Oryzias latipes: one gene and its partners. The protein of the gene in region 1 interacts with the protein of each later gene in a biochemical or structural test. Links are inferred from orthologs where the notes say so. Each region holds a gene or a part of one and is shown in the gene's direction. Other genes may lie near its edges. The genes, in order: snta1, kcna4, dgkz, slc6a3, mcm7, adra1d and adrb1.

Region 1 (4,001 bases):
CGTTTAGCACTTTGTCATTTTTTATCCTAAGGTGTTCACACTGGATAAGCAGGGAGGGGCTACTTCTTTTTTTCTAAAATTTATTAGCGCATGTTCACCACCTACATTTGGAGGAGGTTTGGTGAGAAATGTCAAGGTGGTGGAAATCTCATGAATCTTGCTCCAGGCTTTTTCTTTCAAAGCTCAGTGTCATATGATTTTGGCCAATCACAAACCGCAATTGATAATTTCTCCTCCACGATAAATTTTCAAACGGTTGGCACTTCCGTGAACTAAAAGTGACGCCATCTATATATCACTAACAAATCAGGGTAGATGACTGATCAAAGTTTCACCTGGTTTAACTTGCAATGCACGTTCAAAAATCCTGGGTTTTGTAGTTAGAACTTAAAAACAGGTGTAAAAATGTGCACAGCTATGCGTGAATGTGAGTTTTGAATATTGACTTTTCATTGAACGTGGCTGCTTGAACGTGTGTTGCTGAGGGTGGTGTAAACGGTGCAAGACGTAAAGCTGAAAGGGATTTTAAACTAAAGCCAAATTACTCTAGTGTTGATAGAATTTTTGTACTTTCTTTCTTAAATTTTATTCTACAATCTATCAAAAAGAGTGATGTCACACCCATGGCTTGTTTGTTTTTTAGTTTCTATTGCAGGTAGGCCTTGGACGAACCAAAGCAGTCTATATACTTTTCTTTTGTGACTGCTTTGGAACCGATCAGAGAGCTCACTTACAGTTTACACAAGAGTTCTAAAAGCCAAACACTGCCAAGACCCATAGTCGTATCAGCTCATCAGAGAAAAGTCGGAAGAGTTCCCTTTCTGATGAATATTCCAGTGAACGCTCAACAAGTCTGCTTTTATTTGGTCCGTTAAGCCCACACTCATAATGGACATGTTCAAACAGGGGGCTCTTTGTGGATTTCATGCCCAAAAATGAGCTCCGGTGCGAGAGTCGATGGTGGTCTTTTTAGAGGATATGCAGACTTTCTTTCCCTTTTGACAGAACATCTGTATGAGTGCAGAGCTGAGGACATTGGGACTTAGATCACTGATCTAAGGCAGGGCTGTGCAAGAAATACATGTCTAACCGAATGAATGAGGGAGGGGGAACCTAATTATGTGGGACTCAGCCCCACACAGATCATGATTAATGGAGAGATTCAACAAGCTCTTTGAACTTTGAGTGTGTGTCAAACACCGTCGCTAATCGTATCAACCTCGATTAACTTGACTTCTTCCAACTGGATAGGGCTCTTCGGGGGACAGAGTCGAGGCTGTGTCCCTGAGTGTGTATCTGTGCATGCCCCCATACCCCCAGCCCTCCTCCACCCCCTCTCACAGGGCTGCCAGCCCGTCTAGAGTTATTCCAGGAATGCGTTGAACATGGCTGCCGCGATGAAGACGCAGAAAACGGGACTGCTGGAACTTCGAGTGACAGTGGACCGCTGGGTCCGGGTGCTGGCCACGCTGACCGAGGACGCGCTCACTCTGAACCCCGGCGACAGCGCCGACGAGCCCGCGAAGCCCGGCCACCAGAGTCCCGCAGGTGCTGTCAACGGAGACCCCCCAAACCTGAGCTCGTCCCCGGTCCCAGAAACCATCACCAACGTCAAGCGCACCGTGCGGGTCACCAAGCAAGATGTGGGCGGACTGGGCATCAGTATCAAAGGTAAGCCCGGCGTCCGGACCGGAGGGGGTCCAAAACCAGAAGGACTACCGACTTCTGCGCAGTCGGTAGCAAGTTTTCCAGTTTGAGCGTGGCGGCTTTCAACGACGACGTGACACGGCGGATAAGTTAGCTAACTTCTAACTTAACTCACGAAAAACTGTCATGAATGTAGCTTTACAAACACAGACTTGTCTTTAAAATAGGAAAGTATGAGTGAGGGCTCAATATTTAGCATAAATAATGATGACAGATGAGGTTTTTATCGGGCGAAGCCTCACCTTAAAGCGAACCTATTCAGCGCCGAAAAGTCACCGGATGTGTGTTCTCAGTTCAGTTTTTAGACAAAATAAAAGAAAGAACTGTTAGTAAAAGAATTGTTTTACTGACCTATTTTTTTAAAGTGCTCATTTAATAATTAAATTAATGAGCAAAAATGTTTTTTTTTTCATCTATTAAAATGTTTCTAATTAATAATAAACTTTCATTTTCATAACAGTTTTTGAACATTTGATTGTATTTATACGGCAAAAAGTAGTCTGAGGAGTAAAGCATAAATACATAATTGTATTTTTTATATGTTCACTTGGATAATAGCTTCCACATTTAGACTCCTCTGATAGGACCTCAAAGAGACATTGAGGACGTTTTTGAATATCCACTGTCATGTTGTTTATTGTGTTGTAGTTGTCAGAAATACACCTTTAATCAAAAGAAATCTAAGTGTTTGGATCATTGACTGTATATGAGAACTGGACTGAGTTGCCCCTCCCCTGTTGTTCCAAACACGAAGTATCCGCTGGTCCCAAAAAACCCAAAATCCCACACGCTATGTCTGATTTCCCACCCTAATTCCTAACTACTAAAAAACTATAAACTGCAGCACTATGTAGTGCCCTGGATTTTAAAAGCAATTCAGACACCATGCTCACTACGATTTTTTTAAGGCGAATATGACGTCATCGATTTCACAAATTTAAAATCTAATTAAAATGAGCATTTTGCGATGATCATCTATGAGTCCACTGTCTTGTGAAGATGAAAACGTTGATATTTTTTTTAAGAAAATAAATGTAAATACATTTTTTGACAAAAAAATTTCAAATGCAATGCATTGTGGTCTATATTCGCCAATCTAGTGAGCATGGATGCACACTGGTTTTTCGCAGACTTCTGGGAAATTTCTAGGGCACTCGATTTTTGAATTGTAGATTCGAAAAGCACTACAAAATGGCAAACGCACTATATAGTGTGTAGTGAAAGAATTCGGACACAGCGACAGACTTCTATTAAAAAATAAACAACTATTAGTCAGTCAGTATAGTATGTGGTGCCAGCAGGCACTACTAATTTGTAGTGAGGCATCTGATTGATCATTTTTTTTACTTGAACAACTTCCTATTAAGAAAAACATATATAATAAAATAGTAGAACTAACAAAAACATATTAAAAATGTATCAGAGCAAGTATGGTTACTCTGACAATATAGCAACAGACTGGTTTTGTTTTTTCATTAAAAGTCTATAGTATTTGGCGTCTTGGAGCCGGCGGGTACTTCTTGTTTGGAACGTGAGGGGAGATGGGTCACTCAGTCCAGTTTTGATACAGTTCATGATCCATATTTTGCAAGCTAGACTGATCCAGTTTGTTGTATAGCATAGTTGAGGAAAGCAACTAACCCAAGAACCCACGGCTTCTTGATCTGGATCAGATTTCCTCCATTTGTAGGAAAACATGGAGGATCTAGAGAGCTATATCAACAAAAAAATGATGGATTTAGGTGCAGGTGAATAGATATTTTGTCTTAATTGTCTTGAGAATGTTGAAATAGCTTTTTAACTCTTACTTTATGGGTTCATCAGACACATCAGATTTTCTCGAAAGAAATAGGCAAATTTACAAGGTTAATTTGATTTTAAGATCACTTGTGGAGTTTTACCTGAAGTGCCTATTTAAGGTTCCTCTTACTCATGTGAAGGTGGGGATTTCTTACTGACGGGCAGTGTGTAGAAGACTACAAGAGTAGAAGGTTTGAAAGGAATTTGTTTTGTATTTTTAAGATGCAGCCTCCAAACAGGTTGGTGTTAACAAGTAATCATTTGACAGCTGCCCGACTCGATGGGCTGATTTGACAGATAATTGTAAACTTACCCTCTTGTCAAGCTGCCAAGTGTATTCATCAGTGTAGCTGCTTGTGGCAAGTTCCCTTTGGTCCCCCTCCTCTTCAGTTAACAACAGAACAAAGCCAGGCCCTAATGACATAAAAGCAATGTCCTTCTGTTAGGAAATGGAGGGTTTTTAAAATAGGGCAGCATGCTATTAAAACGAAATT
Region 2 (3,929 bases), on another chromosome or scaffold:
AGTTGGTTTATCTGGTGAACCCAGACATGGCGACAAGCCTGGCCACGAATGTGTTATTTTTTCAAATAAAGACAAACCAATACTACTCTCCGGACAAGAGGGGGATCTACTTCCAATGCAAGGACGCTAACAAGAACCGAACCGTTTAGTACCCAAATCGCAAGATTTGCTCCGCTTTGACATTTTGCGCCAAGCCTCTTCCAACTGTAGGTGGCGAACATGCAAAAGTAGCTAGCAAACAGTAAAAAAAAAAAAAAAAAAAAAAAAGAGGAAGAAGCCCCTCCCTGCTTGCCCAGTGTGATACCATAGGCTAAACGCATAATGAATGTCAGGGATGTTTGTAGCTTTGGTGAGCTGGAAACGGAAATTTTGAAGAGTTTTAAATTTTCTGAGTGAAAAAATAACATAAAACTGTTAAGACATGAAAAAGAAACAAGCTTAGTGCATAATTTAGAACTCAAAAATTATTTTTGTTCAATCTTCAGAAGGTAAAGTGACAAAATTTGAATTGAGGCTTGCTTAGGAAAAAGTGAAATGTGGGTTTTTAATGGCTTATTTTGTAAGAAAAATAGTTGAGGAGTTCCAAAACACACATGTGAGAGTTAAAACACAATACTGTGATTACTGCATTGCTTACATATATGAAGTTTTCATTATACCTTGGCCCAGCTTTGCACACTTGCACCTTTCACTTACATTGCTGTCAAAAAAGGACTTTTTTCATTCCCAGATAGTGATTATGTTTTTCAAATACGTCTTCAATGTCCTCATTCTAATCAAAGTTGTATGATTAGTACGGAACAGATCCAGTATCGCTTCATGCCAAATAACTTTTGGTCGAAACGATGAACGAATGTCATCATCCAATCAGCAATGTCCCATAGTCCCTACCTTTTCCAGGTTCATATTCTGTTTTTTTTTTTAAACATTTAATTTTGATTTTTGGAAATTACTTTTGTTTTCCAAAATATTTCACTTTTATTTTGTTTCCTTTTTTTTTCTTATTTTGTTTGGTTTGTGGAAATTCTTTTGGATTTCTAAAATGTAATGTTTTTTTTCTTATTTGTTTTCCTTTTTAAATTGTGGTTGGGATCTTTAATTTATTTTTGCATTGAATGATTTGTTGGTGTAATTTCCACTTCAGGGCCACCATAAAGGCAATGGACTCATATTTCTTCCAAAGATTCAGCGAGACATACAATGAGGGCCAGATGCTTGCGGTGGAAAGCTTTAAAATGCTCTTGGTACATCACACAGTCTGAAAAAACATCAGGAGTGGCACAAAGTCGCCCTGGTTTCTACTGTTTTCTCTTTCAAAAATCTTTGAAATGCGCCCAACTGCATTTAACCTCTGAACTGCATGTTTGCAGCTCTACAAAACAGGTAATGCTGCCTATTTGGAGAAGACATTCTCCCAACTGTAGGAGAACCTCAGATGTCATTCTGGATCCAGAACCATGGTGGTCCATAAAATCTCCACTAGACTCTCCGTCCATTCATCGCTTAATCCAAACCTTCAGAAATGACGATGCTTGGCCAGTAATTTTCCTGTTTCACATAATTGGTTTTACCTGTTGACTCTGTCTGCGTCTATTTCATGATTTACTCTCCAATATGTTCAATCTCATAATATGATAATTAATTTCACTCCCATACCAGATGGTGTTCTTTTTTCCCCTAATTGAACCTCAGAGGAAAGCAGACAAAGGGAGCCTTAATGGTTTTTGATGTTTCCTCATGAAGGAAACTAATAAACATACACTTAAGGATTAATGAAGGTGTAAATTTCAGAAGGAAAACTTGATATTGGCGGGCTTTAAAAATATCAAACCTGATATTTGCATCTACTTTAAAGTTCCCGTCATTTCATTTCAATTCTGCATCAAAAAGAATAGATTCCTCCCGCCGCTTCCTCTGAGCCAACATGGTAAACAGTAAAGGTACAATTCTAATTTCGTGAGGAAGCATGCGCTCTGGTCTAATCACGTGGTTTTGTGAATGAAAAGACAGCGCTGCCATAGTTATTTTCGGGGAGAGAAGCGATGGTAAAGCGGGAGAGGGGCCTCAGCATTGAGACTGCAGCACGGCGCGCAGTGACGCGCTGCATCCACTGGGGGAGGACCGAGCACCGCCTGCGCGCGCTGCGACGCAGGAACCACTTTCTCACCGAGATTCTCCATCATCACTCATACAATGGGAGGGATACAGGAGCATAGGTAGGGATACAGAGGCAGACAGACAGAGGCGTGATGCTCACACTTAGCCGTGGGGACATTTACCCCCTCATCAATGCCTTGCTAAACTTTCCCCCACCCTTGGTTCTTTTTGACCGGGATTGCGCGGAGCAGTCAGTAATGCCAACTCCCTAATCGCACACCTTATTCTACTCCTCCCTCCTATTTCCCCCCCTAAAAGCCGAATGTTGCCTCTATACAGTGAGCGATGCTGCAGGAACGGGGGCCGAAGTGCCAATAGATCCTGTTGAATTGAGACAAGACGTCGAGACGCAGCCAAAAAAAAAGTGTCATCTCCAGAGTGCGTCAGAGCACGGATGTATATACTGGATGTGGATTTTGGTCGCTGGTTGGACACGACGAAGGATTTGGGTATTTTAACGTCCAGAAATTCTAACAGGAATTTGAGGAAACATGTGCATCCTCGCCTCCTATTTCTTCTCCTCCTCCTCCAGCGGATTTGTTTTGGGTGTTGAGGCGGTTTGATTTGGCACCTTTTCAAATGTAAGTATGGATGAAAGGACACTTGTATGTGGAAACCCTGTGCGTAATGTTCGTTTTGACGTTTTTCTATTCGATATTAGCAGTCTAATGATATTATTAATGAAGTTTTATAATCTGCATGATGTATGTAGTTTTCTTGCTATAATATTTACACCTCCCTCTTCCTTATTCTTGCAGGATCTGCTGTAAACATGAGGAATAAAAGTAATTCTGCTTAACCGGGAGTCTACAATACGGCAGACAATATTTTTTGTACCATTTTTTCTTTTGCTTTTCCTCTTATTTTTGGATCCCAGCACATGAGAATGGCATCATCGGGTGACCACGGCAGAGCCAAGGACGCATTTAGGCGCCGATCTCTGGGAAAATAACCACCTGATGGGCTCCGGAGAAGCCGCGGACAGACTGCTTTGGTGTAGCTTGTTGACTCGGTGATTTATAATGCTGTGCATATAGAGGAGGGGGGGCTGCAACTTTTGTCAGAGCGTCTGCGTAACAGGCTATTCCACCGGCCTCTGGATTTTTTTTTTTGTGATGCTAATGATGTCATGCAATCCTAGAGTGTTTGTACCAACATGAGAAGATGGGGCTTCATAACCCCCATTATGTGAGTAGCTTCACTGAACCTGAAGCAGACAGATGTTTCTTGACCTGACCATCTGATTGATCAGAACGGTTCATGCCTTATTCACCCTCCCTGCGCGCGCCGGGCTCCAACTTTTCTCCTCTGCTGTGCGTCCACATCACCTTGAGGCGTTTTATATAGCGCTCAGACAGACTTAAAATGGAGTTTGCTATGGTGGGCGCGGATGGCGGGTGCAACAGTCACCTGCCGTACGGATATGCCCAAGCACGGGCGCGTGAGAGGGAGCGCGAGAGGGAGCGTCAGGCTGCTCAGTCCAGAGCGGCGGCTGCTGCGGCGGCGACCGACGGGGGCCCTGCTGCGGAGGGAGGAGGAGGAGGCGGCCATGGAGGGGGGTCCATCTCCACCACCACCTCCTCGAGCGCTCATCTCCTTAACAACCGCCAGCATCAGTCTCGCGCCGCCTCCTCCTCAACGAGCGCCAACATCAGCAGCGGCGCCGCCTCGCGCCCCTCCTCCTCCTCCTGGCACCAGCAGGATCCCGAGCAGCAGCAGCAGAGAGTTCTCAGAGAGCGGAAAAAGCAGCGCGGCGTCGGACGGTGGAGACG
Region 3 (4,163 bases), on another chromosome or scaffold:
AGATGAGTTTGTTCTAGAACATGTTCTGGTTCCTGAAGCTGAACCGCCTCATGTGGGATGTTGGTGGATCTCAATGCTGCTGCTGCAGCACTCAGGTCTTTAGGTGTTTTCAGGTGTTTTCTGGTTTGAAGACTGTTCATCTGACCCGAACACAGGACTCGTGATAACAGAACCAGACCTGCTGGTGTTTGTCACAGTCGGCTTGTCTATTTCAGTTCCTTGTTTCATCCCAACTCCATGCATGGCTCCTCCTGTACAGTTCTGAGACATTTGGATTGTTTGTTTTTAACGGTTTAAATTTCGTGATAGCTAAAAATGTTCAGTTTTACATTTTGAAAGTTGAGTTTTATAAATGAGCATTCAGAAGTTTCTGGGCTTCTTGTTTGTAGGATTTTCTGCTGTTTCTACATCAGCCTGGGTTCTGTTTTTCCGTTTTGATTTATTGATTTATTTCAAGCAATGTAGTCAAAGCAATAAAGAATTTACACATATTCATCAAACTCATTACAGAAATGTTGAAATGCATAGTTTAATAAGACAGAAAATAAAACAAAACAAAAAAGTCACTGAAATTACATTTTGCTTAATTAAATACAGTGATCAGTAACTAAAGTCAAGTAGAGTTTGATTTATTGCTTGAAAAGAAGTGGGAAGAAGCGAATTTATATAATCCCACCCCTACTGAGTTAATTCATTTTTTAGTTTTAATTTTTGTAATCCGGTTCTGATCCGATAGATTCTTTTCAAGTAACAAAATGATTGATTATCTTCGGAAACCATTCATTCACAATTTCAGTTAACAGTATCGGTAACAAATATGTAATAAGCATTGATTTTTCTCTGGGTTTTGGAGGTTCAGTTAACCAGGATCTTCTCTGGAGCTTAAGCTGTTTTAGAGCTGCTTTCTCCTCTGGATGTGTGATTGATCTGAAGCTGCTTCGGCTCCACATCAGTTGCTCTTTGGAGATCTCCAGATGAGGCTCCAGGCTGCGGCTCTGATTGGTGAGTCCTGTGGTCGTGTGCTCAGGCTGTGAGTCCTTCAGAGTCTGTTGGTGAGTGTTGGTGAGTCAGAGCTCAGTGTCAGTTTAACATGCAGCTTTGCTTCCTGTCATTTTTCTTTCTAATTGGATCCATAATGCAGCAGCCATGGGCCTTGAAGTGATAATGAAGGGCGGCCGGCGGCTCCATTCATGTCTGCCGCTGTGCTGAAGTGCGTGATCACAAAGCCTGAAGCTGCCTGCTGATGAGCTGATCCTGGGTCAGCTGGGCCGGGTGGCCAGCAGGGGTCAGCGGCGTGCAGCTGAACTCAGAGCAGTTTTTCTGCTGAGAGGTTATTTTTGACGGCAGCTTAGTGAGTGTGTGTTTTCTGTGGGAGACTTAGTGCCTCAGTGTGTTTCTGCTCTTCATCTCTGCTGGAGCTGCTCTCCTCAGCCTCCTCAGGTTGTATTCTGCTGCTTCCTCGCTTTGTGTTGTGTTGGACCTGCTGGACCTTCTCAGTCCTTGTTCCTGGATCTGTCTCTGGATGAGTGAGGCAGATTAGCTCAGATTAGTCTGACTCCTGTAGTGTTTTGCTGCTTTGAACTTTGCATTTCGGTTTTGCTTCTTGTCAACCTGACTTCAAATTTACTAACTATTTCTCTGCATTCTAAGCGATACAGAGAGAAAAAAATCCCAGCATCTGTTTGCATTTAGTCTCCAAACTTTAGGAAATAATCCCTTATATTGGATAAATAATGGACTAAAACAGATTATTTTAATTAAAATCTTACTAGAAAATCCCTTTTCTCCATGAGTATGGTGAACATCTGTTCCAGAGAGGCAGTTTTCGTTTCAGCATGATTTCTGGCCGTCTGTGGCCACAGGTCACTGCTGGAGATGACGAGATGTCTTCATGCTGTTTGAGTGATTCGACAGCCTGGTAGCCCATCCAGACACACAGGGTTAAAAGAAGAAAAAATTAACTTGGAGCAAAATGAAAAAATAAACTGTTGAGTCAAACTTTAACCAGTTACGTCCACCTGTAATTATTGACAGTGCTGGAGAGTAAACTGAAAAAAAAAACCCATTACTTTTCCAGTCATTTCAAATACATCTTTATTTACTTAGCAAGGTAAAAAAGAAAACTTAATGGGCAGGCCGTGTGACTCTGTTCTATTTTTTTATTTATGAAATTACGTCCCTTTATTTTGGGTGATCTAAAAACAGTTTTCCTCAGCAATTTGTGGCTTCATCCCTTCTTTTGTGGCTCCTTAGCTTTAAAGGAAATGGCTAATAATGATAAAAAAGATTGGCTTTGCAGTTTTGGTTAATTTTTTTAAACTAATTAAGTTTTGTCCTTTTTATATTTAGATTTATTTAGATTTTAATATATTGTTATAAGAAGAAGATTAAAGCCCATTCTACTGTCTTTTGCTTAACAACGTAGTGTAAAAAAAAAGTAAAAGGAGCTTTTTTTTCAAGAATTTTTTTTTTTTGTTCTTGCTATAAAAATAAACAGAAAAGTTTTTCAACAGCAAAATAATCTTAGTTGAAAGACGCACATCAATGAAAATCATGTTTTGGGTGATTTTAACATGTTGGATGACATCTATGAAAGAATTTAGGATTAAAACTGCACTTGTGAGTATTTCTTTGTTCAAATCGTTGTGAATTTAGGTGCAGATGAAAGAAGCTCTCTTTTGAAACGAAACAACAGGTTAAGAAGTCACACTGCCCTGATGCATCCACTTGCAGACAAATAGATGCATAACATCTTCATTTTCCTGATCTGAGCTGGTATCTGGCTCAAAGCTGTACAGCTGGATAGCTCCAAGATTGCTCGTCATTTTTGTTTCACTGGGAATGTTGGTTTTTATTTGTGAGGGGCTGTAAGCTAGCAGTGCAGAGTGTTAACAATGGGATGTTGAGATATCAGCTGAGGCTTACTTCCACACAAACAGTCCCGCCCACAATTAAGAGGGGAATTTCGAAAGAACCACTGCTGCTCTGCAGAAACAATGTCCTAGAAAACCACACAGGCTTTTTTGATTTAGGCTAAAAACTAAATCATCCTAATTAAAAAGAGGAAATATATAAGATTATAGCCTTTTAGTCTAATTTCCATTTTTAGTTCCTACAGTACAGGTTGATGGTCTCGAAGTAAAAAGACAAGTTAAATCAACGCAGAAAAGATAACAGAAGGCAGATAATAGAAACAACACAGATGGGGTTGTCAATAGAAAAATTATGAAGGTAAAAATGTGTCTTAATGGACGAGCTTGTAGGTTTGATGTGAGAACTGTGAAAACGTGTGCACCAATCATCTGCATCTGTGTGTAAAAATCTTGTGCTGTAAAGTCTGACAAACAATATCAGAACCGACAAATTCCCATTTGCATGTATTCATTTAGAGTTACAGTCTCAAATCTGTGATTACAACTGCTCAAATGTGCTCCAATCCATGGGCGCAAATCACTTGTGCGTTACAACTGCACCCTGACTTTTGATACATTCCTTGCAAGATACTTGTGTCAAAACTGATCTGTGTCCGATATTGGAACAAGGGGGGGAGGAGGGAGTCAACCAATCAGAGTGCAGGACTCAGAGAACTTGGTAAAGTCAGAAAGATCTTCACAGATTGGGACTTCCTGCTTCAATCTTCTGATAAACGATCAAATGTGACAGCAAGTATCTCAATCATTTTGTATTAACACAGAGAGAGAACTACAAATGCATTTCTGAAGAAAAGATTGTTTCTTTTCTGCACTTTTATTAGAAATGGTCTTTTCCAGCTGTAAATGCAGACATGCAGCAAGGCGCCTGCCAAGGGACCGTCAACAAAGTGCAACTTCCGTGAAAACATCATTCTGTGAAAATCAATCTCTCAAAAATGAATAAATGTCTACATTTATATGAGTTGGTAATGAAGACTTGTCAGCATATTCATGCTACAATCAATATTTTATGAGAAATTTCATCTTTAATGTATGTTATATAGTTTTTCACATTTTAAAGGCCTGTACACACCGGGACCGACGTTTAACGCCTCATGACTAAACAAGGGGCACCAATGTGAGTGTGCACACCGACGCGAAAAACGCCACGCGTAAAAGCGTTATTTTTTAAAAAAACGCCTCGGGTTTGTTTTTTTGGTTTGACGCGCCGCGTCAAAAACTATACAACCA
Region 4 (3,500 bases), on another chromosome or scaffold:
TGTTCTGTGCTTCAGTTCAGTCTGGTGCTATTAGATCAAAGTGTGCTGCAGCTAGAAGGTCTATTTCTTCCAATAGTTTGGGCTTCTTCATTCTTTGCCCCAAAACTCCGTGAGGTTAATGTTTCGGTGCTATTGATGTGGTCCTGATAAAGGGAACAAATGTAACAAATTTTGACTTCTACCACTCCGACATCTGTGCTCACTCAGCAGTGGTGAGGCTACAACAAAAAGAAAATTGCGACGAAGGATCAGGCAGTCCAGTACGAGCTACTAGCCGAATAATATCAACTGTGACGGATTTTGCGAAGTGATAAAAAATTTAAAAGGCAGGAGGGAAGAGTTTTTACAGATTAATGGCACCTCAACATTCTAAAACATGGGAGAAAAAGTATTACCCTTAACTTATAAACACTTACAGGGTATAAAAAAAATCAAAGTAAAGGTCTTTGAGAACAACTGACCGGAACTTTAATCAGGAGTTTTCTTTTTTTTTTTTTTTTTTTTTTTTTTTAAGAAATGTATGTTCTCGTGTCATCTGAGCTTGACGGTAGAGAGGTGGATAAGGGCCCAAATACTAAGAAGGCCGTAGGCGAAGGAGTCGGCATATTGCCCCACTTTGGTGGGTCCTGACCTTGGCAAGGCAGATAAATCAAACCCAGGTCCTGGAGGGAGTGTCTGTAGGCCTTTTATTTCAATCTTCATAACTACCGGTAAATACCCTTTGACCCCATGACTGCTGTGGTCTTTCACTCTGCTAAAGCTCATTTAGCTGTGTTGAATACTTGGTCGTCAGTAAAGATATATTCCCCTGCAATGACAGATGCCGTTGATTCAGGTAACCACAAAAACGAAAAAAAAAGATACTTGGATGGGAAAAAGCTTGATGGTATAGACTTTCAACTTTGTAATGATCCAATTTTATTTTTCATATTTTCATCCTAAAATATTCAGCTTTTGGAAAAATGCACCAAAATATGGATATATTCTTTTTTAATATTTGCATAAGACAATATTTGCTTTAACTGAGTGCCTAAGTTTATATTTTATTTCTGCTTGAGGTGTTGATCGTTTTAGCGACGACATCAAGGAGATGATTGGGCATCGACCAGGCAGGTACTGGAGGCTTTGCTGGAAGTTTGTCAGCCCATGCTTCCTTCTGGTGAGTCATACTATCCACAAACAAGGGAAGACAATAAAGAAAAACATAAGTGGATAGGGTAGAAATGTGAATGTTGTGTTAATATATTTAATTCATATTTTCCATCATGACAGTGGCAATTTGTCAGTAGTGCATTTCCCACAAAGTCTATGGAAGTTAGAAAGTCACTACTGTGAAAGTGATTTTCAATTTAAGTATGAATGTAGTTCTGAACATGATTCCACAGTTTGCTTTTGTCTTATTACCTGTAAATGGGTAATGCCCGCAAATTCACCAGTAATATTTAGCAAATTTTGTCCATTTTCCACACAAACTCAAAGCTACTAATTACCTGACATCGGTACAAAAATAAATAGTAATTTGTAATAATTGTGACCTTTTACACACCCCGTATTTTCAACAGGTAAAAAACGTTTACTTATTTTCATAGAGAAAATGATAAAAAAGATCCCCTAGGTTGATTCTTGTTTTTATTTTTCCCATTTTGAATTAGTGTGGGTCACAGAGACACAGAAGTAGCGGCAGAATGAGGCTTTTGCGGCAGCACAGAATGCGTACCGTGATGTGAATGAACCTAGACATGGAGACGGGATTACCAATGCTTTTGTAGAGCTTTTTAAAATAAATAAATCCGATCTCTAAACATCCTCTGTGTCTTCCATGCAATGCAGTGAGATAAACACAGACAGAAACGTGAAGGTTTTGGCTGTAAATCCAAGTATTGCTCACATCCGTGTTTAAGAATGACTTATCACGTGAATTATTATTTTGTGGGAACAAATTCATTATTTTTTTACCCATGTCAGGTCGCAGGCTCAACTTGTGGCTCTTTTATCTCTCATTAGCTGCATTTCCATTGACTATGAAATAAAATTGCCTAAGGAAAACACAACAATTTCGGAAAACCTTTTGTTCTTGAAGGGAGTGGGTTTTTTTAGGCATATTGAAATTGACACATTTTGCAAAACTGCAATGGAAACATGAATTGGTAAATGGCGTACACTTGTATAGCGCTTTTCTACCTAAAAGGCCCAAGGCGCTTTACAGTCACAGACCCATTCACCCAGTCACACACACATTCACACACTCTGCTGCCGAACACTGGCGCCAACCTCTCACCAGAGGCAGGGTGGGGTTCAGTGTCTTGCCCAAGGACACTTCAACACATGGGTGTGCAAGTCTGGAAGCGAACCTGCAATTTTACGATCATAGGTCGACCGCCCTACCGCTGCACTACGGCCGGCCCACAATTAAATGAAATGAGTCTTGTGACCAACAACCGGATGGCAATGCGCTTCTTGGTAGAAACTGCACAGCGGGCGCCACATAGGTCACAGAGCTCATCAAAAGTTGAGCTTGTCATGAGGAATTGTTGGATCCACAGCTCATCTGTAACATCACCAACCACATTTTCCCCAACTCGCTTCATCTGTAGCCGTCTCCAAGTGTACTTGCCACTGCAGATGATCCCAACATCTCCTTTGGTAGATGATGAGCGCTAGTAGTGTGGCAGGAAATTGAATCTGCTGTAAATCAAAGTATTGTTCACATCCGTCGCCATGTTTTTGAATGACATATGGTGTGAGTTGGTTTATTCGCACTCATGATTTAATTGAAACGGTGTAATTGCTAAATTGTGTTTTTTTCGACATTTCTAGTGGCTCTTTGGCTTTGCGGGAAATGCAAACAATTAGAAAAAATAATTGGTTTATGGATACAGTTTGCCATTCATGCTTTGATTTTTAAAATGTCAGATAAAAATTATGGTGAAATGTTTGGTCTACTGTCAGAGATGTTTATTGTGAGAATAAGCTTAAAGCACACATGTTTTCATGACATTTTTTCTCTAGTTTATGGTTGTTGTGAGCTTTGCCACGTTCAACCCTCCAAACTACGGCTCCTACATGTTCCCGCCGTGGGCTAACATGCTGGGGTGGTGTCTGGCAATGTCCTCCATGACTATGGTTCCTCTCTATGCCATTTACAAACTCTGCACACTGCCTGGAAAGTTTTGCCACGTAAGTTTGAAAGATGTATTCCTAAAAACATGAAGGTAAAGTGGGCTATTGAGCTTTCTTCATTGGTCGGTTTTTGCTCAAAGAGGGGCTTTAACTGCCTTTTCTTTAACAGAGGTTAGCTTATGCCATCACCCCTGAAACAGAGCATCATCTAGTGGACAACGGGGAAGTTCGGCAGTTCACTGTAAGTGTTCCCTTGTTCCTCGTATCACAATACACTCTAAATATCACATCACTGCAAGGGATTATTTGAAGAATGTTGTTCCCCTGTTGAAGAGCCACTCCGATGAAAATAGTTTTGGGTGTCCTTAACATGTTCTTGT
Region 5 (2,235 bases), on another chromosome or scaffold:
GATGAGGAAGGAGGCCAGAGTCAGCAAAGACACCACCTTCACCTCTGCTCGTACCCTCCTCTCCATCCTCCGCCTCTCCACCGCCCTGGTGAGGACATGAAAAACCTGTGACACGTCTGCTTGGCAGGAGCTCCATCGGACCTCTGAGTTCGCTCCCTTCAAAGTCTTTGGAGGTTTATGCTTTCATTAGCTGCCCAGCATGAGATAAAGTGCTTACAGTGCAGGTAGTGATCAGAACAGTCTACTGCAGTGTGAGCACTTCTCTCCCACGCTGGTCCAAAGCGCCTCCGTTTCTCTGTTACCTCTCTGACAGTCGTCTGTGGTTCTGCCTCTGGTTACCAAAAGTGCTGTTTGTGCAGGTAGAAGTCACCAGCTACTGCAAAACCAGCACTTCAGGTAAACTGATGGACCGTCCACAGGGGGGCGCTGCAGGGTCTCGATGAGGAGAACGAGCGTTTGAGACTTCTGTCAAGGATCTTCTGGTCCTGGCCAGCTTTGCAGGGTGGGCAGTCAGCCTGTGCATGCCTGGAGCAGCTGTGCAAACCCATGCAAAACTGACTATGGCCAGCACTGCCATCTATGCCTTCTACATGAAGTCTACATGGTTTTATTTTTAATGTCCATGTGCTTGTTTGACCTGTGGAGAGATTAGCTGGTGTTGAGAGGCGGAGACTTGGGCAATTGCCGGGCATCCCAGAGGGCATTGCACTTGTCTCGGTCTGACAGTGCCGGCACAGCGCAGCCTCCGTCGACGCGGTCCGGTCAGATTAAGGAGTGCCGGCCCCTCAGAACCCCCGTCTGAACCCCGCCCGCACTTTCTCTGCTCGTTTGCAGGCCCGGCTTCGCATGATGGACACGGTGGAGAAGGAAGATGTCAACGAGGCCATGAGACTCATGGAGATGTCAAAGGATTCGCTGCAAGCAGACAAGTCCAGCGCGACGAGGTTGGTATCAAACATTACAGAGCAGAGGGTATGGTACAACCACTCCAGTAGCCGGATCCCTTTAGGGTTTTCTTTTTTAAATAGGAGTGTCTGTGTGACCTGCAGGAAGCTGTAAAACCTCCAGGTTTTTACAGCTTTGTGTTCGGTTTCCTGTTCACTTGAGCAGGCGCTGATGTCATGTTCACACTTCAGCCCAGATCTCACACTGGTGTGGTTTTCTTTAGCGACATTTCTGACCCTTTTCTTGTGCTGTATTGCTATGCTGGTGGGCATTCTGACAGTGATGCATGCTGGGAATGCTACCAAGGCTGTTCTGACTGTGTCCTCTCCCCTTTCAGGGCCCACCGTCCAGCTGACGTCATCTTCTCTCTGGTGCGGGAGCTGGCCACGGAGAGCGCGGCGGGTCGCGGCGGTTCTGGCGGCGTGGTCCGCATGGCTGAAGCGGAGCAGCGCTGCGTCTCCCGGGGCTTCACGCCCGCTCAGTTCCAGGAGGCTCTGGAGGAGTACGAGGAGCTGAACGTGTGGCAGATCAACCAGGCGCGCAGCCGCATCACCTTCGTCTGAGCGGTCCCTTCCATCTTCAGAGCGAGGACTCCCTCTGAATGTGGTCATAATCCATATGTGTCGCCGCTTTTATGGTCCTGTGAACGGCCACAGTGCTTGTAAATATGTACGTCAGAAGTTAGTATTTGTTTATTCAGGTCACAGCTCCTTGCATCAGTTGATGCAGAGCTTCTCTGTACATTTATAATTGCAAATGTTAGAAAACTATAATAAACCTTTCAAATCTGTGTGATGGTTGTTTCTCTCCAGTGTTTGTTTTAGGTTACAAAACTCAGAAATGGTAGCCTTTATTTTCTTTTTTGTATTAGTTTTCTCTGTAAAACGGGGAGAAACTGAACTGCAGGCAAATCTGGAGCTCAAGCAACAAAGATTTGCTTTAGACAGTGGAATTATGGGAAAAGTAAACAATGCATAAACAAGGCTTCAGGACAGACGGGGCTGTCAGTGTCTGTGATGGACCAATCTAAGTGAGCCAAAGGAAAATGCTCAGAAGTACGATTCTATTGAATAGATTTATTTATACACTCTCAAAACTGGGCCCCAAAGAGAGGTAAACGGAGAACATCAATGGAGGCGATTAACCAAACACTAACCTACTGAACAGACAGGTTGGTGCTCTTGCATGGTCCTGGTTCAGTTCTCAGCTGGGATCTCTGTGGAGGGGATTTTTCTCTCTGGTCTCATCTTTTGAAGTGGAACAACTTCCACAATTGGTGGCTGACTAAAA
Region 6 (3,122 bases), on another chromosome or scaffold:
AGGTGAGTGACGGCAGACTTCCACACAGGTGACCTTCGTTGGGTAAATCCTGAGACAGAGAGGCAGAACATGAGAGCAAGGCAGGACAAAGACATGGGACTTGAGCAGGCTGACCAGGCGTAGTCACCGTTAGGAGTTAACGAACTGGCGTCGATGAATGGGCTGGATCTCCTTAAGTGTAGGCAGGTTGATGAGATGAGGTGGTCACAGCTGGTGGAAGTCAGGAGCAGAGCTGAGGGGGCGGGGCTGACCGAGGCACCGTGACAACCCAAAGTCAATTCAGTCGTCATCTTTTCACTATACAGATGCCGTAATGTTTAAGCCAGATGACGTCAGTAATTAGTGATTGTTCTGAGTCAGTCTGAGTCATCATATGTGTGGCAACCACTCCTGCTAATCAGGAGTGAGCTTGTTGCAAGGCCGCCCCTACCATTTGAAAGCAGACTCAGGAGAATCTGTCACACCTTTCAAATGTGCAACGTTAGACCACAAACTTCAATGGAGGCCTCTGATTGGCCAGTTTATAATTAGAATAATTTCCACTTCAGAATAAAATATGAAAAAAAGAAATATGATTAGCAAGAACTGAGTAATGACTAAGTAATAGAATTGTTTTCGTCTGTAGAAGTCTATGGGATTTTGGCTTCTTGGAGCCAGTGGGTACCTTCTATTTGGAATGCGAGGGGGCAGGAGTCACATTGTCCAGTTCTCATATATTATCATTGGCAAAAACCCATAATTTATAACCAATACTTGCGTTTTGGTGTAAGTAAATGCGTTTGTGATACGAGCTATAATGGCACAAACAAGCATTAAAAAGTGTTTCCTCTTAGAGTGTCTGTTATTAAAAATGTCACCTGATGACCCTGACAGGTTGTTACCATGCACCTTAACAGTTTTAAAAAGTAGGTTTAATATGCTGCTTAATATTTCATTACCTCTTATTTTTACAGGCCTCAGCTCTTAAGAGTCATATTTCTGATGAACAAAATGTCCTTTTGCTTTTGTTAATAAAAATGACCAAACTTTGAAGAAAAGATTACCCAAAAAATTAATATGAGGCTGTTGAAGATTTAAAAATAAATAACTAAATCTGGCAAAATACCATAATAGGTTGCTTTGCTGGTAATGAGGTTGATGGCAGAGGACCCACTATCATCAATAATTCCAAAAATAGAAACTTTTAAAAAATTTAGATCATGGTTTCTTTATGACTTATAAAATATTTAGATTAAAAAAAAAAAGAACTTATCTGAATGAACTATCCAACATGTAAATCTAATGTATAAAGTGTCCTTACTCTGCAAAGATTTGGCTTCAGTTGATGCTAATCCTCATGTTTCCATCCCTTTCAAGGTTCCGTCTTCCCAGCACTGAAGCCCTCTGAAACTGTGTTCAAGGTGGTGTTTTGGCTGGGATACTTCAACAGCTGCATCAATCCAATGATCTACCCCTGCTCTAGCAAAGAGTTCCAGCGAGCATTCATTCGACTGCTCAAATGCCAGTGCCATCAAAAGCGGAGGGTCCTGCGCCGCTTCTATGACCAGAGGTGGCGGACAGCTGTGAAAGGAATGGCAAGGGATCAGAGGGGAGAATACACACCTGGCTATGCCGTGCATGAATCATGCAGCAGCTCTTTATTGCATAAGAAGAAAGGTTGTTCACTCGGTTTAAAGAGATGGAGCCTTTTTCCGCCTCTGCAGAACTCCTCCTTTCAGTTTAAGGAAAAAGTCAACAATCTGTCCAACAAGATCAAGGGAGGGACAGGAAAAGGAGCCACACCTGGCGGGGGCAGGAGGGACACTGTGGACACAGTTTCAATGGGAATCTGCAATTCTTGTGAGCAGGGCAGTTTTCAGTTCTATGATCTGGCAGAATGTCACGGCCTGAAAGAGACCGACATTTAGAGTTCTCCCTGCAGAGAGTTATTTATTTTCAAAGTGGCCATTCTTAAACAATGTGCAAATAAGACTGTGAGCAGGCACACATTCTGAGAGTTTCACAAAATTATCTAAAATTCTTCACTATGACTTTTCTTAAAATGAAATATTTTGTGAAAGCCAGGTTGTGGAGATCACAACAGTAGCAAACCTATCAGACTGGTTGTTGTGATTTTAAGGCACCATGTGTCTGTGTCATAAAATCAGTGTTTGGATTAGGTACAAAAGAAAAACACAATGAAAAACTAGAAAGAATGCACAAAAAATTCAATTTTATTTCCTTTTGTTTGAATAAAACTGTCTTTTTGGTTTCAAAGGTTAGTGTGTTGACCCTATGTGATGTGGAAAATGATTTGCTTTATATTTTTTTTTTATTTAAAGACAGTAAAGCATTTTATTGACAAGACTGCTGAGTGCAATTTCTATTGTTTGTATCAAATGTGATATCAAACGTGAAATTTCACACTGGACTCAATTTGATCATGTGCATTCTTTAACATTTTGAGAAGGTTTTGTGAGCAAAAAAGGTTATCGAAGAATGAAAATTCTTAACTTGATTTATTTTGTAGGATTCATGGGGAACAATGAAGTAAAACTTGTAAATCCAAATAAGCTCTAATGTGAAATACATGTACTTTTTTGATGCTATGATTATGAATAATAAAAGCTAAATAAAAAAAAGGTAAAGAAGTCCAATTAAATCAGGATTTTTGTTCAGACAAAATACACCAAAGCACCCTGTTTAAAACATAAATCTGCCCTATCCTGAAGATAGGGCATGCACAATTCTTCCCATTGGTTCCTCCTTACCATTAAATCCAACCAATACATTTTTTTATTTTAAAATAGAGTAAATTCAAGACCTGAATGTGTCAGAGATTTTCTAACAAAACCTCAATACTGTGGGAATTGTACAACCAACTCTTTTTAGCTGAAGCTGCAAGAACAGAAAGGGCATTATCAATCAATCTTAATCGCTTCCTGTTATTAGGTTGATCCTAGCAAGAGTACTCTGATCTTTTTCTGTCCAGAGGGGGAGGAGTCAGGCTCTTACTTTGCAGTCACTTGAAATTTTTTACTGAAACCAAGACTAACATATAAAAAAACAGGTTAAATTGATAAGGGAAGTAAAACAGAATAAATACCAAGCAACAATGGACATGTTATTTGATATTAGGGCAG
Region 7 (4,055 bases), on another chromosome or scaffold:
GAAGAAATAATAGGCTTCTGGTTCGGATAGTTTTAAAGATTTTGTCATAAAAGATCGAAATGGTGGTTGTTCATTTACAATCAGCGTGCAATAAATATAATAAAAAGTATTGTTGTTAACGTCAACTGTTTTTGACCATAAATAGCTGGAGAACCATTTCTATCATGTTTTTTATGTATTTATTTTCAGCTGATAAAACAAAACCTAAACAGCATAAACAGAAATTTAACAATGATTGACAATATTTAAAGTTTGTAAAAAGGGATTTGGATGAACATTAAAAGTCCCCTTTTTTTTCAGTTGGAAGGTTGTGAGTTCAAATCCAGGCCGAGTCATACCAAAGACTCTAAAAGTTTTTTTTGATTCTTTTTATTTATTACATTTTAATAAATAATTAATAATTAAAATAAATAATAATTTGATCTGAATTCAGTCTCTAAAGTTTATATTTATACAAACTGTATTTTTTGCATATTACAAAAGGTTGAGACTGAAAACAAACAGAGAAGGTTTTCAGGAAGAAAGTAAATATCAATGAATCTTATTTATTCCTTTATTTCTATTGCGTATATCACCCTTTTACAATTGTTTTAAAAACTTTTTTATATTTTCAATTTTTAATGTCTTTCTTGCAATTATTCCACATGTGAACTGGGGTTTTTTAGTCTTAAATAAAATGATATAGCTCTGTTTATGAATGTCATCTGTCAAACCTGACTAAATTAACCAACAAGCTTTCAACGTAAGACTATTTGTCTTAAGAGGACTGAGGACAGAGGACTGTGGACAGAGGACTGTGAACAGAGTCCTGCGTTTGCCGCTTCTCTTTGGACCAAAATAGGAAAATTCTAAAATGGTCCTCAGAAATATATTTTGGTGTTTATTATTGGAGCTGAATGAAGAATTTGAGAGTTTATGATTCCCAACCAACCATTCACTTGAGGTGAAACTAATCCAAAAGAACAAGGAAAGCCTCTAATTGGCCCCTGAGCTTAAGGGGTCTAACCCATGACTCCTGAATGTGGATTTAGATTGAAAGTACTTTTCCAGCAATGAGGTCACTTTAAATATGATAAAAATAAGCTTTCCCAGGTTTATTTTCTCAAAAACAACCAGTCTGTCTATCTTAGGGTCACTTGAGGGATGTTAAGACTGCTTCATGGTTGATGTCATGTTTCAGCTTCAGACGAGGGGTCACAGAGGTCATGAGGAGTGGTCCAGAAATAAATCCAGCTTCTTCTTTGGTGTTTAAACTTTAAACGCTTGCCGTTCAGTCAGTTCCCATCTGGAGCTCTTCATGTTCATTTGAACCACTCAGCCCGTGGACAAGGAGAAGAGAGGTTGTCGACAAGGAATCTGGGAATTCTGACTGCCAGTCAAACCCAGCGTAGCTTTATGGCTTCTGATAAGGTGGGAGTCGATCTCAAGGGAAGCATTTCTGGAGGTAAAAATATAAATGTGGAACAACAAATCTGGTTTGCCATGGAGGGTGATGAAAGCGGGAAAATCCCTCTGGATTTTCACTTTTGGCCTGGTGTTCCCACAGTGCTGGAATTTTTTTTTTCAGGAAACAGGGACAGTTTGTGTTAGTAAGTAACAAACATAAAGTGGTGCGTTTTAGGGTGTTTTATTTTCAGAAATATGATACAAAAAAGAGGCCGAAGTTGATGTTGCCTCCTCTGATCCACTGGGACCTTTGTTCCACTGGACTGCCTGATTGGTCGCACTGATTGATGATGTCACCCGTGTTTCAGTCCCCGCTGGGGGGGCATCAAGCGCAGAAGAAGAAAGCAGCTCCAGATGGAGTTTGCGCGCGCTGGGATTGGAGCTGCGTCTCTGTCGAGCGCAGCAGAAGGAAACGGCTGCTGCGCGCTGCCTGAATGAACTCACCCTGCTGTCAAACGCAGCGCAGCAACGCGCCATGGGGGACGGCGGCGCGTCCTCTCCAGTGACCCCCCACAACGGCACTGGAACCGAGGCGTCCAACGGGCAGGGCACCGTTCCAGCCGCGTCCGAGCAGTGGACAGCAGGCATGAGTCTGGTGATGGCTTTGATTGTGCTGTCCATTGTTTTTGGGAATATCCTGGTGATCTTGGCCATAGCCAGGACGCAGAGGCTGCAGACCCTCACCAATGTGTTCATCGTATCGCTGGCCAGTGCAGATCTCATCATGGGCTTACTTGTTGTGCCGTTTGGCGCTGTGCTCGAGGTGCGCGGCTTGTGGCTTTACGGCTCTTTTTTCTGTGAGATCTGGACCTCTGTGGATGTCCTCTGCGTCACCGCCAGCATAGAGACCCTGTGCGTAATCGCCATAGACAGGTACGTGGCCATCACTTCACCTTTCCGCTACCAAAGCTTGTTAACCAAAAGTCGGGCCAAAGCGGTGGTGTGTGTGGTGTGGGCCATCTCTGCGCTGGTCTCCTTCCTCCCCATCCTGATGCACTGGTCCCGCGACAGCATGGACACGGACTGCTACGAAAACCCCCAATGCTGCGACTTTGTCACCAACAGGGCATATGCCATCTCCTCCTCCGTTATCTCCTTCTACATTCCTCTCGTGGTGATGATTTTTGTTTACGCACGCGTGTACAGAGAAGCGAAAAAGCAGCTCAAAAAGATCGACAAGTGTGAGGGCAGGTTTCACAACACCCTGACAGGGCTGACCTCCAAGTGCAAGAAGAGACCTTCAAAGATCTTGGCGCTCAGGGAGCAAAAGGCGCTGAAAACTCTGGGAATCATCATGGGGACGTTCACTCTGTGCTGGCTGCCCTTCTTCATAGTCAACGTTGTGCGCGTATTTTGCGCAGAGCTTGTGGACAAGAACGTCTTCGTGTTCCTGAACTGGCTGGGTTACGTGAACTCTGCCTTTAACCCAATTATTTACTGCCGGAGTCCGGACTTCAGGAAGGCTTTTAAGAGGCTGCTGTGCTGCCCGAGGCAAGCCGATCGCAGGCTGCACATCAGCTCCTGCGACCTGACGCGCTGCTCCGGCGGGTTCGTGTCAGCGCTGGAGCCTGGCACGCTGGAGATGTGGTCCGACTGCGCCGTGTTGGACAGCAGCGACAGCATCCTGGTGGGGACGAAGCTGCCGCGATCTGAATCCCAGCTGTGAGGTGGATTAATGCACTCTTATGGGAAACTCAAAAACAAAACAGAAATAACTTGATGATCCTTCTTTCTCAAAAGCTGTGCGTAAAAGTCATCCTCCAAATTAGCTAGAATTTTTTTATTGCAATTTCCCATCTGAATCAATTCACAATGCCGACGGATAACGATTTATTTTATATAAATCTGCACTTTGACTAATTAAAACGCAAATCTTCCTTTCATGGAGGAAGAACGAACACCTAAGCAGAAAATGTTTCATCATAAATCCGTGGGATAACTTTCTTCTCTCCTCTCTGGAGAAGGGGAGAAAAAAAAATATTGCTCCACCTTAACGAAGTACAACAGTTCATCTGTAAATGGCGGCTGATGCGCACTTTTCATGAGCAAAAACCTTTTGTCCAAGTGTTCAATTCCTCTTACAATGTGTTTTACCTCACAGCAAAGACAAGTGCAATTTGTATGACATGTTGTTGTTTATATTAAACATGATGTAAAATAGCTCTGCATTTACTCTGTCTTTTTCAGCTGGGAAATGAAGGACAGGTGATTGTATATAATGAAGTGTTAAGCACTAAAGGGAGGAAACTGGGCCTCTCTGACTGTCTGTCTCTCTTATTTTAAATGCTGTTATGAGGTGGTGCTTCTGTGAAAATAAAAGATGGTTTCATTCTTAAATGTTGGAGCTTTTATTTCCTTCCAGGGAGCAATGACACTAAACTTCTCCACATATTTTTGAATATTTTCCTTTTTCATCAGCTACAAAGTAAGAATAGAAGAGGTATTTTATTTGAAATGTATATGGCATCAGGTGATGCTTTCAATGCGTGGATTAGGACTGCTGGATCAGGGTCAATCAATTAGCAAACAGCTTTTTCTTCTTTTCCTTTCGGCTTTTCCCTACAGGGATTCCCACAGCCAATCAGCTTTCTCCATCTAACCCTGTCTTC

Evidence for each region.
Region 2: the proteins of snta1 (region 1) and kcna4 interact in a test that uses a peptide from one of them, tested with the Homo sapiens proteins (2 studies listed by BioGRID and IntAct). The link is inferred for Oryzias latipes from reciprocal best matches to the Homo sapiens genes SNTA1 and KCNA4.
Region 3: the proteins of snta1 (region 1) and dgkz form a complex in vitro, tested with the Homo sapiens proteins (2 studies listed by BioGRID and IntAct, with this or other methods). The link is inferred for Oryzias latipes from reciprocal best matches to the Homo sapiens genes SNTA1 and DGKZ.
Region 4: the proteins of snta1 (region 1) and slc6a3 interact in a test that uses a peptide from one of them, tested with the Homo sapiens proteins (2 studies listed by BioGRID and IntAct). The link is inferred for Oryzias latipes from reciprocal best matches to the Homo sapiens genes SNTA1 and SLC6A3.
Region 5: the proteins of snta1 (region 1) and mcm7 interact in a test that uses a peptide from one of them, tested with the Homo sapiens proteins (2 studies listed by BioGRID and IntAct). The link is inferred for Oryzias latipes from reciprocal best matches to the Homo sapiens genes SNTA1 and MCM7.
Region 6: the proteins of snta1 (region 1) and adra1d interact in a test that uses a peptide from one of them, tested with the Homo sapiens proteins (2 studies listed by BioGRID and IntAct). The link is inferred for Oryzias latipes from reciprocal best matches to the Homo sapiens genes SNTA1 and ADRA1D.
Region 7: the proteins of snta1 (region 1) and adrb1 interact in a test that uses a peptide from one of them, tested with the Homo sapiens proteins (2 studies listed by BioGRID and IntAct). The link is inferred for Oryzias latipes from reciprocal best matches to the Homo sapiens genes SNTA1 and ADRB1.

The regions. Positions count from the first base shown.
Region 1 is NC_019863.2:11,975,285-11,979,285, reverse strand, and holds the start of snta1 (alpha-1-syntrophin), read left to right. Parts: upstream 1-1,201; 5' UTR 1,202-1,385; coding exon 1,386-1,671; intron 1,672-1,949; exon of another isoform or gene 1,950-1,988; intron 1,989-4,001. UniProt on the Homo sapiens protein: Adapter protein that binds to and probably organizes the subcellular localization of a variety of membrane proteins. May link various receptors to the actin cytoskeleton and the extracellular matrix via the dystrophin glycoprotein complex.
Region 2 is NC_019861.2:9,901,504-9,905,432, forward strand, and holds the start of kcna4 (potassium voltage-gated channel subfamily A member 4), read left to right. Parts: upstream 1-1,129; 5' UTR 1,130-2,738; intron 2,739-2,915; 5' UTR 2,916-3,522; coding exon 3,523-3,929. UniProt on the Homo sapiens protein: Voltage-gated potassium channel that mediates transmembrane potassium transport in excitable membranes. Forms tetrameric potassium-selective channels through which potassium ions pass in accordance with their electrochemical gradient.
Region 3 is NC_019864.2:26,852,474-26,856,636, reverse strand, and holds the start of dgkz (diacylglycerol kinase zeta), read left to right. Parts: upstream 1-1,363; 5' UTR 1,364-1,440; intron 1,441-4,163. UniProt on the Homo sapiens protein: Diacylglycerol kinase that converts diacylglycerol/DAG into phosphatidic acid/phosphatidate/PA and regulates the respective levels of these two bioactive lipids.
Region 4 is NC_019874.2:11,899,132-11,902,631, reverse strand, and holds part of slc6a3 (sodium-dependent dopamine transporter), read left to right. Parts: intron 1-1,058; coding exon 1,059-1,159; intron 1,160-3,009; coding exon 3,010-3,177; intron 3,178-3,289; coding exon 3,290-3,361; intron 3,362-3,500. UniProt on the Homo sapiens protein: Mediates sodium- and chloride-dependent transport of dopamine. Also mediates sodium- and chloride-dependent transport of norepinephrine (also known as noradrenaline). Regulator of light-dependent retinal hyaloid vessel regression, downstream of OPN5 signaling.
Region 5 is NC_019868.2:6,634,083-6,636,317, forward strand, and holds the end of mcm7 (DNA replication licensing factor MCM7), read left to right. Parts: coding exon 1-88; intron 89-179; exon of another isoform or gene 180-286; intron 287-477; exon of another isoform or gene 478-570; intron 571-834; coding exon 835-944; intron 945-1,282; coding exon 1,283-1,508; 3' UTR 1,509-1,735; downstream 1,736-2,235. UniProt on the Homo sapiens protein: Acts as a component of the MCM2-7 complex (MCM complex) which is the replicative helicase essential for 'once per cell cycle' DNA replication initiation and elongation in eukaryotic cells.
Region 6 is NC_019859.2:14,271,719-14,274,840, reverse strand, and holds the end of adra1d (alpha-1D adrenergic receptor), read left to right. Parts: intron 1-1,356; coding exon 1,357-1,907; 3' UTR 1,908-2,622; downstream 2,623-3,122. UniProt on the Homo sapiens protein: This alpha-adrenergic receptor mediates its effect through the influx of extracellular calcium.
Region 7 is NC_019877.2:5,429,051-5,433,105, forward strand, and holds adrb1 (beta-1 adrenergic receptor), read left to right. Parts: upstream 1-1,255; 5' UTR 1,256-1,921; coding exon 1,922-3,112; 3' UTR 3,113-3,783; downstream 3,784-4,055. UniProt on the Homo sapiens protein: Beta-adrenergic receptors mediate the catecholamine-induced activation of adenylate cyclase through the action of G proteins. This receptor binds epinephrine and norepinephrine with approximately equal affinity.